Linked DNA regions of Oryzias latipes. The protein of the gene in region 1 purifies or fractionates together with the protein of each later gene. This does not show direct contact. Links are inferred from orthologs where the notes say so. Each region holds a gene or a part of one and is shown on either strand. Other genes may lie near its edges.

Region 1 (8,419 bases):
ATTTGATGTCATGCACGTAATACCCCGTGTAGCAGATAATCAAAATAAACTTGATCACTTTGATGATGGTCTGGCGGATGTACAGTCGGTACACGATATCTCCTTCCTCCACGTGAATGCGGAACTTCTTCACCTTTTCGAAAAGGGCTTTCGCTTGCTCGCCTTCTTTTTTGTCTAAAACTCCCGTTTCTGTGCGATCGACGATGCCCTGCTCGAACAGCGTCTTTGTCCTCTGGAGCATCGGGACGCTCGCCTCCACATCTTCACTTATGACGGATTCTTTGTGGTCCACCGAGCCGTTCATTTTCATGGGTTTGGGGTCGCTTTCCTCGACCACCGTCTCTGACAGAGCCCTGGTTGTCCACGGAGAGTCAAAGCATTTCAGCAAGATGGACACAAAGTGCTCCAGTTTGGAGCTAGTCCGTGGAAACTTGAACCAAAAGTTGCTGCAAGCGAGAAAAATCAGGGTGTGGAGTAATACTAAGTAAGGAAAGTACTTGGCAAACCAGTGCAGTCTGTTTTCGTAGCACACAGCATCAACGTAGTTGTACTGGTGCCGGTCCAGATCATACTGGATCCCTTTGGGTTCCTTGAAAAAGGTCGAGGACAGAATAGAGCTAAAGTTTTTCTTGCAGGTTTCATTGACGACCCATTTGCAAGGCAGGCAGATCATTTTGTCCTGTGTGATCTGCAGCGTTCCTCCAAACACGGAAATCATCAGCATGACGATAGAAATGTAGTCCGTGAACACATCCCACCATGGTTTCAGGATGCGGTATGCTGGCTGTGTATCCACAAAGTACCGCAATTCAGTGATGGGGATCATGGCTTATCTGTAGTGGAAAAAAAATAAAGAAATATTATGGACAGATTGTTTGAATTTTGAAACACTAGTACATGACATTTCTCTCTTTTTTTATTTGAAGACAATGTGGGGTCAGGTGTCTTTCTTAAGGACAAAATGACTGTGTGGCCTGGGATTTGAACCCCAGACCAGCGAAGTGACACATTCCCATGACAAAAAAACCAAAAACAAAAACACAAACAGGAAATCCCTTTTTTTCCCATAACACGTGAACCAGATAGATTCAACGGGTCAAGGAAGGCAACGAACAACAAAATAAAAGGGAATCTGCAACATCATTTAAAAGAAAACTTTAAACTTTTCATTAATTTCTGCCTCAAGCTGAAAGCAATTTTAAAAACAGAATTTATATATGGCTTAAAAGTTACTTATTTAATATTTAAGCAGTTTTATACCATGTTCCAGGTCAATACGCGATTCTGATTGGCTGCAGGGTGTCAGATAATTAAGGGTTATTGGCCGATGAAATGTCCATAATTTTAAATTAATGGACGACACTGAGGTTCAAAGTCCATCTATAAAGTCTGTTAATTTCTGATAATGGACACTTCGAAGGCCATTTTCCCGCGCATGCCATGGTCACATCCAAAAGAAATAAAAATTAAATCAATTGTTAGTACTTTATTCCAGTTATTTTTCCGGTTTAAATAGCTTTTTAACAAAAAATTGACTATTTGTTGTGCGTTGTCATGGTATCAGCTGAGCGGGCATCGACCTCGACTGCGGCGGCAAAGGACAGCGTCATATTTGCTGGTCATGACGATGGGGTCAGTTCAGACAAAGTTCACCTCTTTGTCCAGATGATGAAGATGAAGTTTGTTTTGAAGAAGCCAGAGGAGAACATACACATACAGAACATTTACGCTATGTGACTGGAACTTATTTTTTTAGGTGTGCATGATCACTTTTTAATTCACGCCCAGCAGCCAATCAGAACCCAGCATTCACACGGACACATGGTATAACACAGTGGTTCTCAAACCTTTTCTCTTGTCCCCCCCTTTAGAAGAGGAAAAATGTTCATTTTTGCCAGACAGCCAACATCATTTAATGTTTGCAAATTTTCAAAAAAGTATAACTTACTGGGTTTAGAATTAAAAATTGTTTTAACTTGCGTGTTTGATGTGTGAAGTGTTACATGCACTTGCTCCTCCTTCTTTGTCTGACGAAGGGATAACACCATCCATTAGTCTTATTTTGATCAATTATTTTACTATAGTTGATTCTAAAAATGTTAAATAACTCAGAAAGTCTTTAAAACGGGAGTTATATGTTGTTATTTTTTTAATATCTAAAGAAAGAAAATTAACTCAAAATTAATTTAGAAAAATAGCTGAACACAAGACACGAATGAAATTAAAGCAAAATGGATATCGAGAAGTTTCCATACTCACAAGTCCAAAGCAGAACCATGCGATTCATCCTTTAGCTCAGTTGTTGTGCGAGTCAAATGCAGCACTTCAAACCAAGCTCTTGCTTTGTGCGCCTGCACCCCACCCAAACCGTCCGCTGGAGAAGCCCCTCTTCTAAAGATGATGTTCCGTTTTGGCTGGTTTCACCCAAACAACACAAGCGCAGAAGGAGCCACCTTGCTCCCCTGCTCTCTATTCTTAGCTATTTCCGTTAATAATACTCAGGGTATTGTCTGTGGGGGCCTTGAAAAACACCTCCCTCGACCTTCAGGAGGAGATCCTGTTTACCATACAGATGCTTCTGTCTCCAACCAGTGTCTCTCTGGAATAGTCTGTCGGCAACTTTTGACGACACACTACACACAATAAGGAATTCGGGTTTGGCATTTAGTACAGCTGGCACTTTGTTGGGAAACTGTAAAGTAAATGTGCTGCTCCACCACCAAACAGGAAGGTGATGAACAGTCTTCAGACACACCTACCAACATTTGTAGCGTTGATTTTTTTGGGATGATGATGTAGCGGCGCCAGGACCAGCAAGCATGGGTGTTATCTCCGCCTCAGCTCCTGATGAAGGCCCCAGCTGACCTTCCACTGTCTGTGCATCCAGTGCACTTCATGAAGGATGCCTGTTATCATGCTTGAGCAGCACAGCAGGAGACCTGAAATGGCACGAGGATGACATTGATCCTCCTGTGTTTTTTCCACTCAATATCATAAAAACATGCGGTGGGAAAGTTGACGTGATGAATTATTCACTTAAATGCAAACACTTAGGATGACAGGCTGTAAAACTACCTGATTTATATCGTTTTAATGAGTTTCTCATATTATTTTGGTGCACATGTAGCACGTCAAAAGAAAAACGAGCGACTTTTAAACTAAAAAGTTTAAAAAACACACACACAGATACGTGCCTTAAGGTATCTGGAATTAGCAGAAAAACACCCGCGCCTTTTTCTAAACACAACGCAAGTAAAAGTAGTTAAAATAATGTAAAAAGATTTTAGCAAAATAAGCTATCCTCTCACCAGAGATAATAAAGCTAACTCAGCTATATATATATCACCGGCTGTTTTCCTTCATTGGAAGTTTACACCCTAAACTAAATGTTACATTTCGTCCGACGCTGCGTTTTTCTGAGGCGTGAGAATTTGTAAGATATCCAACTTACTACATACGACGAGCCGGAAAACCTCCAATAATTCTTTGGATCCTAATATTTCTGAAAAAAATTTGGTTAGCTTTAGCTAGCTGCTTAGCTAGCGAGCTAATGTTTTTGAAGTTGCTTCGACACAAAGCCGCGGACAGTTGCGACCTCCGGCCGATAGGAGGCGCTGTGACGTAAGCAACCGTAGAAGAAGAAAACAACTTCCTCTGCTGTGTGGGATGGAGACGACCGTGTTTTGACCTGAACAATTGTAAATATCCACTGATTTTACCTAAAGAAATCAAAAAGATTATATAGCCAGGCATGTTTCTAAGGGTTGGACGATCGTCCGGGGCCGTACTGCGTTCTCGGTGCTTATTAACGGGTGGATTGTTGGTTCCCAAAGCAGCATGGACCAGAAATGTGACAGCTCTGGCAGTGGGAAGAAGAAGAAGAGGAGAACTTTTTTATTACCCCAATGAAGTCCGTTTTAGGAATTGCAGCACGAGTCAAGCTAAAACGAACTGCTGGAACTGTAAACAGCTTCTCGACAATGTCCCTGCATTCTTTTGCAACTCTTGCAAAACAATTCAACCCCCAGCAGAAGGAGAGTCCTATTTTAAGATCATGGACTGGTGAGTCTCTTGGTCTAATGAGGGGTCTGCAACCTTTGATGCCAAAAGAGCCATTTGGTCCACTTCCTCACTGACCAAAACCCCTCTTTATTCCTCAGACAAAACACACTTTAGTTATTGTGTTATATGGTTGATGCTATAAAGCATCCAGCCCATTGTTTTCCTGTTTCTCCTTCTTTATTATTGTATCTTCTGCCATTATTTGCCGCTTAACTTCTACAATTTTTCCGCTGTTTTACCCATTCAACTGTTAAAATGTTCAGCGTTGTCAGCCTTTTCCAGTTGTGACTTTTGATCCTTCAAATCCTTGGTATTTTCAAGATATTCCAGGATTTTTTCCTCCATTGAAATACATGGAGAATCGCTTGTTCCAGACCCGGTGCTTGCATTTTTCACAAAAATATATTTTTTGTTATTGTGCTGTTGTCACATTATTCAAGGTCAACTTTAATCATTTTTTAAAATTTTATTAATTTATTTTTTTGTCAATTATTATCCTTTAAGTTTCATTTTCATACAGTAATACAGCATTCAACCCGGAATTTTCTTCTCTGGAAATGCAGCTCCTGCTAGTTCTTTATAAAATGTAGTTTTAAACATTTACAATAATTCAATTATTGCAGTGTTTTAGTTTTTAATAGAACAAATACGATTTTATTTAATTAGATGACAGAGCATATAAGCTACTTTCAAAAAATAAAACACATAAATAAGTTTCTTCTGCTACTTGGATCATGATTATGACTTTGGTGCACAGTCCCCCTTTTTCTCCTTTAACCATTTATTCTACACAAGACAACATTAGTGTAGAATCCAACAGGTTTTTCTTTTTTACTTATATAAGGTCAGTATAGGAATGTACACATAAGTGAGAATACGTAAATGAAAAATAACGTTAACATCTTTCCTTAAAGCCAAAAGAGCCACAATAGAGGAATAAAAGAGCCACATGTGGCTGCAGAGCGTCAGGTTGCCGACCCCTCAAACGTTCTCAAACTGCTCCAGTCTGGTTGCGTCTCACCCTTTGTTGCCTCCTTGCAGTGACTACACTTTCACGGTGGACACACAGAAATTGCAGAGAAGATACCTGCAGCTCCAGCGGTTCCTCCACCCAGACAACTTCAGCCAGAGATCTGCGGTAGGCAGCAGATCAGCTGTTGGTTGTTGGTCTCTGCGTCCGAGCAGCCTCTCTCGTTGGTTTGGACACACCCTGTGTTGCAGGGAGTCTGTTCAATTGGCACAAGTTACTCTGGACAAACGACAAAAACAACTTTGTTTCTTAAATAAAAGTGTTAGTGCAGCTTATGGCATATGGCCGCTAGTCAGGATCTTTTCATTATTTTTAACATGTTCCTGTGGCATTTTCTCGATGATGAAGGACACAAATAACCCTAACCTGCTCCATTCCGATGCATCCTCCAACAGATCCATGAACGGCTTTGTTTTCCTGGTCTGAGCTGGAATCTGGATCAGAACTGTTCGGCCGGATAGCTTTGATATTGTCGCCATTTCTGTTGCTCTGGCAATGTTGGGTTGGAGGTGTGAGGGGCTGTAAGCTAGCAGGAGGGCGCGTAAACAGATGGATGATGGGAAGCCGGGTAGGGGTTGCTTAGCACCAACAGTCCCGCCCACAACTCACCAAACAAACCCCTTGTCGCTCTGCAGAAACTATGTCCTTGAAAACGAGAGCTTTTTTGTAAATTTTTGGTTAAAAACGGCATCATCACAATTATAAGACGACCCGTTTGAAAATAGATCATCAGATCTCTTTAAACAACATTAGTTTGGGGTTTTAAAAGGGGTTTTCTTACAACTCTCCAACAGCCGTCATGAATATCATGTGTACTCGTTTAAATTTGGTCTAAATAATTTGCAAACGATGTGTTTACTGATGAGAAAGTGTTGATGTGGACATTTTTAAATCGTACACAATGTCTGCTGGAATCAGTCAGTAAGTAAAGAAACTTGACTGGTTCAGGACTCGACAACAGGTCAATGAAGTGGACTTGTGGAAACACGGCAGAATTCTTTTAAAGGTGTCAGAAAAACAGAAGTAATTTATCTATTTAAAGAAAGTGAGGAACAAGTGCTGTGCTGTTGGACAAAGGATTTATTTTCTTCAGACTACATAAGTAATGGTTTGTTTTTGTAAAGTGATTTTTTTTCAGACAGCTGCAGTGTGATGCAGTGGTTAGCATTCAGAGCGAGGACTCGGGTCTTTTGTGGGCGGAGTTTGCATGTTCTTCTTGTTCTTGTGTGAGTTTCTTCCGCTTTCCTCCTGCAGTCCAAAAACATGCGTGATAGGTTTATTGGCGATTTCAAATTCTCCCTCGGAGTGATTGTGTTTGTTTGGGATAGGCTCCAGCATCCTTATGGCACTAAAAGGTTTGGAAAATGTGGAGTTTGTCCTCACAGAGAAATGTAAAATTGATTGTGTTAACAAAACCTTTGCAGGACTTACATTAAATTCTTAATGTCCCAAAGATTATCGTCAGATAATCTTTGGGACATTTTTTGTCACAGTTCTTGGTGTTTGATGGTGCCTTGTGTCAATTATTGTCTGATTGCTTTCAGCAATCAGAGTATGTTGTTGTAATTCTCTATTATATTTCATTAATATTATCAACATATTTTATTCCATCAATTCTTTTGATCTCTTCTTCTCCTGCAATTGTAAAGATACTTAAACTATTTCAGTTGGAGCTGGTAAAGCTCCAATGGGAGCAGAGTGCTATTACTTTTGGTACAAATCGGTTGTAAGGTTTATGATATATTTATATTTTAATGGAATTTTGCTCAAATAGAAAATGAATAGGGCCAACATTTCAAGTGTAATATCTCGAAAAGCGCAGAGACTATAGGAATGTAACTTAGTGAGCAATAAGGAGAAAGTGCGCTTTAATAAAGCCAGCTCGATTGCGCCTCCATGTGGTCCGTTGTGGTACAAAACGCGTTTATGCTTAAATTGCCAACATAGTAAGTAAAATTCAAAACATTCTTTTTGCTTCTTATTCCTTGGATAGAAATGTTTTTTGAAAATAGACCTAACTATATTTTTCGTAATTTACGATTTTTCGTATAAAAGACGTTTTTGGCTCCCTATTCAATATATTCTCAACAGTCTTTACAATTTTCTCTGCATAACCCATTTGGATCTCCCCGGATCCAATGGTATCAATCATTTTTGTGCAATTCTTTATTGTTTTTGTAGAAAGTGTAGTGCTAATGAGTGGGTGTTCTCTTATTTGAAATGCTCAAATCATTATCAGATACACCAAATTTGAAATAGGGCTTCCTCTTACAGTGATTAATCACAATCAGAAGAATGGGGAAAATATTCCTATAAATTATTCAATTCAATTCAATTTTATTTGTATAGCCCAAAATCACAACAACAGACGTCTCGATGGGCTTCGAAGTAAAACATGAAATCAAAAGGATCATGAATACAAAGAGTTCAATAGAAAAATACTAAAATGAACTAACAAACTGACTAAGCTATACTGGCATCCCTGCCCTTAGACCCCCCTTCGCGGTAAGGAAAAACTCCCAAAAAAACCGGATTCCGGAAAAAACGAAGAAACCTCAGGGGTGCCCACACGAAGGAGGGATCCTCCCCCAGGACGGACAGGCTATTTACCAGAACAACAAGAAATTATGCTATTGTGTTTACACCTATAGTTCAACAACTACTTCCCCTAAACAAAAAATAATTGACAAGTATGTTGGATGAGAGGTCTAGTAAAATATACTAGAAAACTAGCTTTTAAGCGCCACCTGGTGGTGACTATCAGAGGATTTTCTAGCTATGGATAATCCATTGTATCTCTTAAACAGATGCTGATAACAACAGACAACTACTGATAGTTTGCAAAGCTCATTGGGTAGATCTTTGGTTTAAGGCCATTTAGTGCCATTAGCTATTATGGCTTATTGTATACATTTTGTTTTTAGGAAATGAACAACAGTCAAATTTGAAGACTTTTATCTAAAAAAATAAAAACAATACCCAAGGGTACCAAACTTAATGAGCAATTACTCCAGACCAATCTATCCATGCCTTGTCAATTCTGGCTCTGTTGCGCCACCTGGTGGTTTGGGCCTTAATCTCCCAGAGCAATAGGGATAGGAATGAGCTTTTATTCCCCTGTGATTCATTGGATAGTAGAAAAAATGTGCAGACATGGATCTGCCATCTCTACCTAACTAGATTTTTTGCAAAATACATCTTTAAGTTCCCATGCCATATACTTTTACAGACCTTTGCATATTTCTACACATACCCTATTTGGACTACCGTAAAGCCAATGGTACCACCCATTTGGCATAATTTCTTACCGTTTCTGTAGAACACGTC
Region 2 (8,175 bases), about 2.0 Mb from region 1:
CTGGACCGGAACTGACCGACCCGAGTCCAGACCTGCTGTCTGGCTGACAGGAAACTCTGCTCACCATAGTGGATGATTTTAGCCAGTTCCTTAAGCGCAGAAGTAACGCGTTATATTTAGTCACGTGACTGATGTCATCGTTAACAACTGCATCGTTACCTGAACGTGAAATGATTTTACCGGAAGTGTCCATTTCTATTCCCACACCTGGATCACGAGCCTCTGCTCGGTTCGTCCCGAACCCGATCAGAACCTTTAGCAATGAATTCGGTTCGTTAGTGTCCCGGGTCCGCTGTGACCCGTCCGTTCGTTTTCCTTACCTGCTGAAAAAACTCCGCGCTGTTCATGACCGCAGACACACGTTTACCGCCAAACACGGCTCGACCCTGGCGTCCACGGGTCAGTTTTACTCGTTTTTCTAACACAAACTACTTCCTGTTTACTTCCGCCTCCGTGTGGAGCAGAGAGCGCACAGCGCCCCCAGCGGCAGTTACTGGGACTGACTGCAGTCTGCGACGCTGCTGACGAGTTCGAGGCTTTTGGTACGTGATAGTTTTATTGTTTATGACGGCCTCCAGGCTTCCGTGTGTCCAATGAAAGACGGTTTCGAGCAGAGACCAGAACACCTGAGGTTCACAGAGAACCAACCTGCAGACCAGAGTTCAGCAGGGCGGTGCTGTGGGGGCAGGGGTTCTCCTGAGCCGAAGAACCATGAGATGAGAAGCAGAACATTGGACCTTTGACAAAGAAACCTGATGGTTTTTTAATACGGTTCTGGAAGTAATGACAATCACTACATTCCAGAATCTTTAACAGCTGTTTCTAAACTCCCCATCCATCATCTGGGGTTCGGTCATGGGGGCAGCAGTCTAAGCTCCCCTCCAGCTCCTCTGGGGACCCCGAGGCATTCTCAGGCCAGCCGAGAGATGGAATCTCCACATGGAGTCCTGGGTCTTCCGCAGGCCTCCTCCAGGTGGGACATGCCCCGAACACCTCCCCAGGGAGGCGTCCACACGCTGAGCCACATCAATGACCTCCTCTCCCTGTGGAGGAGCAGCAGCACACTGAGTAGGGATGGGTATCGTTAAGGTTTTAACGATACTACTACTCTTATCGATACTGCTTATCGATCCGGTACTCTTATCGATACTTTTTGAGGACGAAAATAAATAAATAAATAAATAGCAAATTAAGAACATAAAGTGTTTTATTTCCTCACTATGCAACAGCATTGTTTTTTTAACAAAACATTTTACTTTATACATGAGAATGTTCCAGACAGGATATTTATTTAATTATTTAATCTAATTGTTTTTATTATTTATGAGTGTGATGTTTCATTTGATCTTTTGTCCATTTTCCACAACCTTGAATATAGACGTTTCTGTCTGTCAAACACCAGAGTTAAGTTAAGTTAAATGATGGAAACAAATTCACTTTGATGCAGACTCCTTTCTATTTTGCCAACTCCATTTATTTTTCTTTAAATCCAGTAAACCCAATAAATGATATTAATTTTACGGATGACAACTATCATTAGTTATTAATTATTATTAAGTATTAGGAAGCAGCTGATAGTTTGTCGCGGGTCTGGAATCATAAGCGGTGAGTCTAAGCCCCGCCTCTCTACCTGTTTGTTGTAAACTCCGCGTGCAACGCCCCCCCACCCCCCCTCCCGCTGCCCCAGCCTGTTCTGCACAAACAGCGCAACATACGGTCATCGTAGCAGCAAGGTGACAGCATGGTAGGCAAACTTAATAATTTTACGCAGAAACGTTAGTTCTTAGTCTAGGGCGCTCACGTGTCCCCTACAAGATCGCCACTGACTGTGTGTGCGCTGCCTTGTCTTGTGTGTGTGCGCGCGTGGCGCGTGCTGTCTGAACAACAGCCCCCCCCCCCCCCCCCCCTGCACACAAATAGACAGACAGAGCTCTCCGCTTCAACGAGAATACCGAAATTAATATCATCATTAATTAACGGAAAATTGACTGACTTGGTGAGTTAAATATGGCAGATAACGCTTACATTTTGTGGGACACAAAAAAGAAAAAAGAAAAAGTAACTTCTCCAGTACCGATAGCAGAACCGTTCAGGTCAGATCTAACGATACTGCCGTCTTGAAGAATGTGGCCCCGGGGCTGGTTCAATACCGGGGCACGGTACCCATCCCTACCTAACACTGAGCTCCTCCTCCTTTATCTAAGGCAGCGCCGCCCGTTTGTTTGTGTAAAAGACAAAATAGATCTTAAAAATAACCTTTGTCAGAAAGTTGTTAAATATATTAATTTTTTAACACATTTGAAGCCAGTTAAATGTTTCTTTGTGTTTGATCCGTTGGTTCTACATACATCACACTAAATGCAGCAGAAACTGGTTTTTATTTGTTGAAGCACATCTTGGTTTCTCCTACAGAAAACTTCTTGACAGGGATTCTGCCCGCGCCTCGTCCGCCCGCGCCTCCTCTCCTGTAAATGACCTTTCGCTCACGTCTGTCTGTGACTCTGAAGGCAGCCGGACTTCAGCCGGACCCTTTGGGTTTGGAGAAGGAGCCCAGCTGCTTGGTGTTGGCGTCCCGAAGCTGCTCCAGCTGCCTCTGGCCTCGCCGGAACAGGTACTCGATGTGCATCACGTCCGTCTTCTTGATGCGGGCGTTCTCCCTGAACTCGTCACGGATCCGTGGGATGAAGCCGGGCTTGTTCTGAGCGGCTCGCAGAAACTGTCGGTACAGAACCAGGACCTGCTGCTGCAGCTTGCTGTGCCGCATCGTGGCTGAAGAACCGACCTGTAGGTCACTACCAGCACCTGTGAGCAGAGCGCCTGCAGGTCCACCACAGAGGAGCTGCTTCTGTCTGCAGGTGAAGCATCACGGCCCCCCAGGCACACTGCAGCCTCCTGCACACAGAAACAACAAAACATCATTTTAGGCTCAGGCCTGAGGACAGAACACACGAGCTGGATCTGAAGGAGGTTCTGGAAAGCGTTTGATGACAAACACCGGCGAGCGTGAGGTCCGTGTCTCTGGAGAGCTGAGACCCTCTGCAGCATCAACATGGGGGGCAAGCAGCTTTGCCATGGGGGGGGCAAGGGCGTGGTCTCAGTTTAGGAAATACTGCCAAACAGTTTTGGTGCTAAACTACAGCCACCCGCTTGTAAAGTGACAGTTATTGTTTACTTTAGCAGGTTTTATCTTTCAAATCCATATTTTCACCTTTTAATTACTTAACTAAATGTTTAATTATAAAAGAAAATACTTTAACTATTTAGCTTGCAAACTAAAAAAGTAGTTAGTAAATAAAACATTAAAAAATAGATTGTATCAAAATGTGAAAACCTGCATTTAAAATGAAACCTGCTAAATATCCAAAAATATTTCAGTTAAAATGTAACTGTAACTTTACAAACAGCCCCCCCCCCTACGTAACAAACCAAAGGGGCATAAAAAAGTCAAAACATGAGCAGAAAGAGACAAAATGAAGACAAATAAACAGACATGAAGCTGCAGAACATCAGGATGGACGGAACCCGCCTCTTCTGACCAGAACCCCCCAGCTGCTGAAAACTGCCTAGAGGTCAGAACAAGAAGTTAAACTCACGAGTCCAGCTTCAACCCCCCCTACAGAAACGGAGGGTTTCTGCCCGGTTAGTCCCAACCGGTAAATCACTGCAGACACACGGTTTCAGCGCTTACAGCCTTCGACTGACCTTTCAGCGTTATAACACGCGGAAGCGGAAAATGAAAACAGGAAGCTGAGAAACTGTTCATCCACAGATTTCACAATAAAGGCCGTTTAGTCACGAAAAATCCCACTACACTAATAAAAAGATGTAAACGACTTAAATTCAAATTTCAAAATATATTTAAACGTAGTATAGTCTGTAAAAACGTAAAATAACTGAGAAAATGTTGCAATTTTAAAAAGTCTAAGATGAAGCTTGAAACTCCAACCGGAAGTTAAAGACGGTGCACTTCCTGGTTTGTTTGCCGTTGACAAGTGTGAAGAGTTGCGGAGACCAAGCAGAAAAAGGTTCGCTTTTTAATAAAAATAAAAAAAAGATGGCGCTTATGATAAATTCATTTGCGAGATTCCCAGTTTTGCGCTAAACAGAGAGAAGAACTCAAATAGTTTGCGTCCCGTTAGCTGTTATGCTAGCTAGCAGCTACTGCAGAGAGCTCAGTACTGAAGTACCGACGTACAGCGAGTTGCTGGAGGTTCTGCTGAGTTCATCCAGGTAACAAAAGAGAACCTCAGCGTTTCACAGGAGAAGATCTAGTGAGTCTCACCTCAGGCAGACCTGGACTAGTTTGAACCACGATGGGGTTCTTCAGAGGACAGAACTGACTGCAGGAGCGTCCTGGTCCTGGTCCCGAAGCTTCCGTTTGGATCCGGTTCGTGACTCCGGTCCACAGACGCTCAAAGCTGCACGTGCCGTTTCAACAGGTGGCCACAACCAGATTCCTCTTCAATAGAGTTTTATGAAACAGAGGCAGACTGGTGAGCCCCCCACCCCCCACGTCATCATCACACCTGTCAGAACCCCAAAGTACACAAATAAACGGAGGCAGAACCAATTGGAACCAAAACTTTAGGCTGAGAAAAGCCCAGCAGTGGATGAAGGTCTGAAGGGGCCTCTGCTGATCAGTGGAACTCCAGGCCTCCTCTCTGTGACACAGGAGGGTCCGGTTCACATGGAGGGTCTCTCTGGGTTCAGGTTCTGGTTCTGCTGGGACTCCTCACTTAAGCTTGAACATGAAGCAGCATCACACGGATTGTGCTGGACGTGAACTAGGACCCATTTTTTCCCCCGTGTCTAGGCAGACATTGAGATGACATCAGAGCGGCAGCTGGTGGAGGAGCAGGTGGAGCGGCTGCTGAGTGGCCAGGGGTCAGAGGTCAGCCTCTGTGATGTCGGCATGGAGCAGAGCAAGCCGGCGGCGCTGAGGAAGAACATTACCTACATCGTCTGCGCCGTCATCTTCAATGAGAAGGCAAGCCCAGCACGCCATGAGAGCGGCGGCCGCTCCTCCTCATGTTGAAGCCTGTTCGTGTGGCTCCTTTAGGAGGAGGTGCTGATGGTGCAGGAGGCCAAACAGGACTGCTACAAGCAGTGGTACCTTCCTGCAGGGAGGGTGGAGGTGGGGGAGAGCCTGGAGGAGGCGCTCAGGAGGGAGGTGAGGCATGCAGGAGTCATGTTTTTTTCTCCACCCACTTCCTGGCTTACCTGTTCTGTGGCTGTCTGCAGGTGAAGGAGGAGGCGGGGTTTGACTGTGAGCCAATCACCATGCTGCTCATCCAGGAGCAAGGGCCACAATGGATCCGCTTCATCTTCCTCGCCAGGATCTCAGGTGGTGTCAGAGCGACCCGGGGTGCTCTTTGGGGGGGGGGGGGGAACCTCAGTGAACCTGGGTCTCCTCTTCTCCAGGTGGTAGTTTGAAGAGTCTGGCAGCAGCAGATCAGGAGTCTCTGCAGGCCGCCTGGTGGGACAGACAGTCCCCCCTCCCCCTCAGAGGACGAGACATCCTCCGCCTCATCGAAAACGGGCTCAAGTAAACACCAAACGTTCACCGAACATCACATCTGTGGAGGTTTTCCCGCTGTCTAGACTGACGGTGCTGCCTTCAGGTACCGCAGGAATCCCTGGCATCCTGTCACTCTGCCAGTTGACCTGAGTTGTCGTCACGTGGTGCAGAGGATGGTCCTGGTCTTTGTTGGTGCCGAAGATCAGATCTGGATCCTATTGGTCCGAGGTACAACCCCCAACACACAGTCTGATGTCGGTCCCGAAGCATGATGGGAAAATGGTTCCAACCCTCCTCCCTTACAAACACTTACATACGCCGTCTGTGTGAGGCGTAGAGCTGACCTCCTGTTCCCTGACCGGGTCATGAAGCGCCTGGTTCCTCCTGAATCAGAGTCTAACACCGACCACTCTCTCCTCCACCAGGGAGGAGTAGTTTGGCTCCTCCCCCTCCCTGGTGGAGGAGGAGCAAAGCTTCCCGTGCATTTTTCTGACGGTTTTCTTATTTTCCTTTTTCAGCAGGATGACTGCTTTTATTTTGAAAATCTTGTTGACCTCCTCCTGACCTGCAGGCCCGACGCCCCATCTCCCCACCGCCGCGGCGGTGAAAACCCATGCGGTGACGTGGGCGGCCAACATGGTGGTGCAGGAGGCCCTGCCGTCGTCCTACTACGACCACGACGTCGCCACGCTGGGCGTCTGCGGCCTGCAGCACAACGGGCGGCAGCACGGGCGCACGGACGGTGTCTGCCTCAACACGCTGGTGGCGCTCGTGCCCGATCGCGTGCAACGTGACGAGGACGGACTGAAGGTGGAGCTCCCGCCTACGGGGAGGCCCCCACCCATAGAGAACCCCCGATACGTCTGGTTTGAGGTTCAGAATCTGGATCTCAGAGAGAAACTTCTGGAAAAAACCAGAAACACGTCCGTGCTGCCGATTCACAGCCTGTACTGAGCGCGCTCAGTGACAGCAAGCGGACTTTCAGGGTGACCTCACGACCTCAGCGTCTCAGATGGAGGGAAAGTATTTGCCCCCTGAGGGGTATTATCATGTTGCGTCAGTGTTTCCTGCAGTTGTCAATGTGAATGTGTGACTGTGAAGCTTTCAGAGCAGAATCGTTCTCCTCCCAGGAAGGTCCGTTTGTGGCTCATCCAGATGTTCCTCTGGGTTCTTGTTCCTCAGCCGTGTCTTTTTCCTTCATGGATCCGCGTTTGTTCTTCTGACTGTTGGATCGGGAACCATCTTCTACTGCTTTCAGGATGAGATCTCTTTGTGGAGCCGTTTTGATTGATGGTTCCACCGAAGGTTCTCTGATGGATCTCTGAAGTTCTAAAGCTGCAGGAACGTCCGTGTGACTCCTGGAAACGTGTCAGAGGCCGTGGGAGAACCTGAAGATGTTCAGAACATCCAGACTTCAGGAGACACCGTTTCAGATCAACATCTGTTCCTTCAGCTGCTGATGAACACAGAAGCTTCAATGTGTGATGAAGAAATCGTTTCTCAGGGAGGGGGGCAAAGACTTTCATTGAGGGGTTTTTGAGTGCAGATCGTGGGGTTAAAGGTCGTGTTTAAATGAACTTTTCTCTAGGAAATGAGACAAACGTTTGGACTGAAATGTGTCTGAATGATGTGTGACGGCATTGATGCACTTTAACGGCGTTCTGTTCCAGAGAAAAGCAGTTTATGGGATCAACTGGACATATAAATATATAAAAACAAAGAATCCACAGAACTCTTCACACTAGTTTATTCCAACCTGAACTTGTTCTAACGTTCCAACACTGTTCCTGAAAGAAGTTTCAAAGGTTCTAGAGATTCAAGTCTAACGGAAAAACCCAAATGTGGCCTAAAATTCGCGGCGCTAACGTGTAACCCTTGTTCTATCCTAGGCACTTTACCGTTGGGAGTGGGGTCATCTAGACCCACTAGACAGTGCTCTGAACCTTTTCTCTTCAATGATTTGTGATCTTCACTGGTGTCCATGGATTACATGAAATCTTTCCACCTTTATCCACCTTTGTCATGGTAGGGAGAACACGTCAATGGAAGGGGGGGGTCATCTACGATAGCACAAGGGTTAAGGCGGATATTTTGATGCCGTTATAGTGACAGAAGTTTTTCAGCTTCAGCTGCTGCTCTGCGTTACGTTTTTGAGAACGTTTGGGTTTCACCTGAAGCTGAAGCCCAAAGTTGTCCTGCAGCAGCTTCAGTGGATGCAGGACCAGGCGGGTTCTGACTTCCAGCAGCAAAACAGTCCGAACGTTTTGACGCAAATGTTCTCAATCTGACCTAGATGAGTGTTTCTGAAAGAGTCCGGGTTTCTGGGTTCAGGACTTCTCTGGGTTCTGTGTGAGAATCTACAGATGGGTTTCATCACAGAACATCAACCGTCACTGAACGCAGTTTATATCTGTATGAGAACGTCTGGATGTGAGCAGAAGAACGTCTGGATGTGGGCAGCAGAACGTCTGGATGTGAGCAGCAGAACGTCTGGATGTGAGCAGAAGAACGTCTGGATGTGAGCAGAAGAACGTCTGGATGTGAGCAGCAGAACGTCTGGATGTGAGCAGAAGAACGTCTGGATGTGAGCAGAAGAACGTCTGGATGTGAGCAGAAGAACGTCTGGATGTGAGCAAAAGAACGTCTGGATGTGGGCA

What was found.
Region 2: the proteins of hscb (region 1) and sdhaf1 purify together in Homo sapiens (co-immunoprecipitation; 3 studies listed by BioGRID and IntAct, with this or other methods). This does not show direct contact. The link is inferred for Oryzias latipes from reciprocal best matches to the Homo sapiens genes HSCB and SDHAF1.

What each region holds. Positions count from the first base shown.
Region 1 is NC_019867.2:2,424,050-2,432,468, forward strand, and holds the start of hscb (iron-sulfur cluster co-chaperone protein HscB, mitochondrial), read left to right. Parts: upstream 1-3,642; 5' UTR 3,643-3,751; coding exon 3,752-4,062; intron 4,063-5,103; coding exon 5,104-5,200; intron 5,201-8,419. Other genes in the region: volume-regulated anion channel subunit LRRC8A, read right to left, coding at 1-826.
Region 2 is NC_019867.2:401,660-409,834, reverse strand, and holds sdhaf1 (succinate dehydrogenase assembly factor 1, mitochondrial), read right to left. Parts: upstream 4,540-8,175; 5' UTR 4,494-4,539; coding exon of another isoform or gene 4,475-4,493; 5' UTR 4,283-4,474; exon of another isoform or gene 3,935-4,282; intron 3,769-3,934; exon of another isoform or gene 3,594-3,768; intron 2,893-3,593; 5' UTR 2,765-2,892; coding exon 2,519-2,764; 3' UTR 2,360-2,518; downstream 1-2,359. Other genes in the region: 8-oxo-dGDP phosphatase NUDT18, read left to right, coding at 4,475-4,493, 4,818-4,987, 5,060-5,170, 5,242-5,344, 5,422-5,545, 5,622-5,746, 6,090-6,472.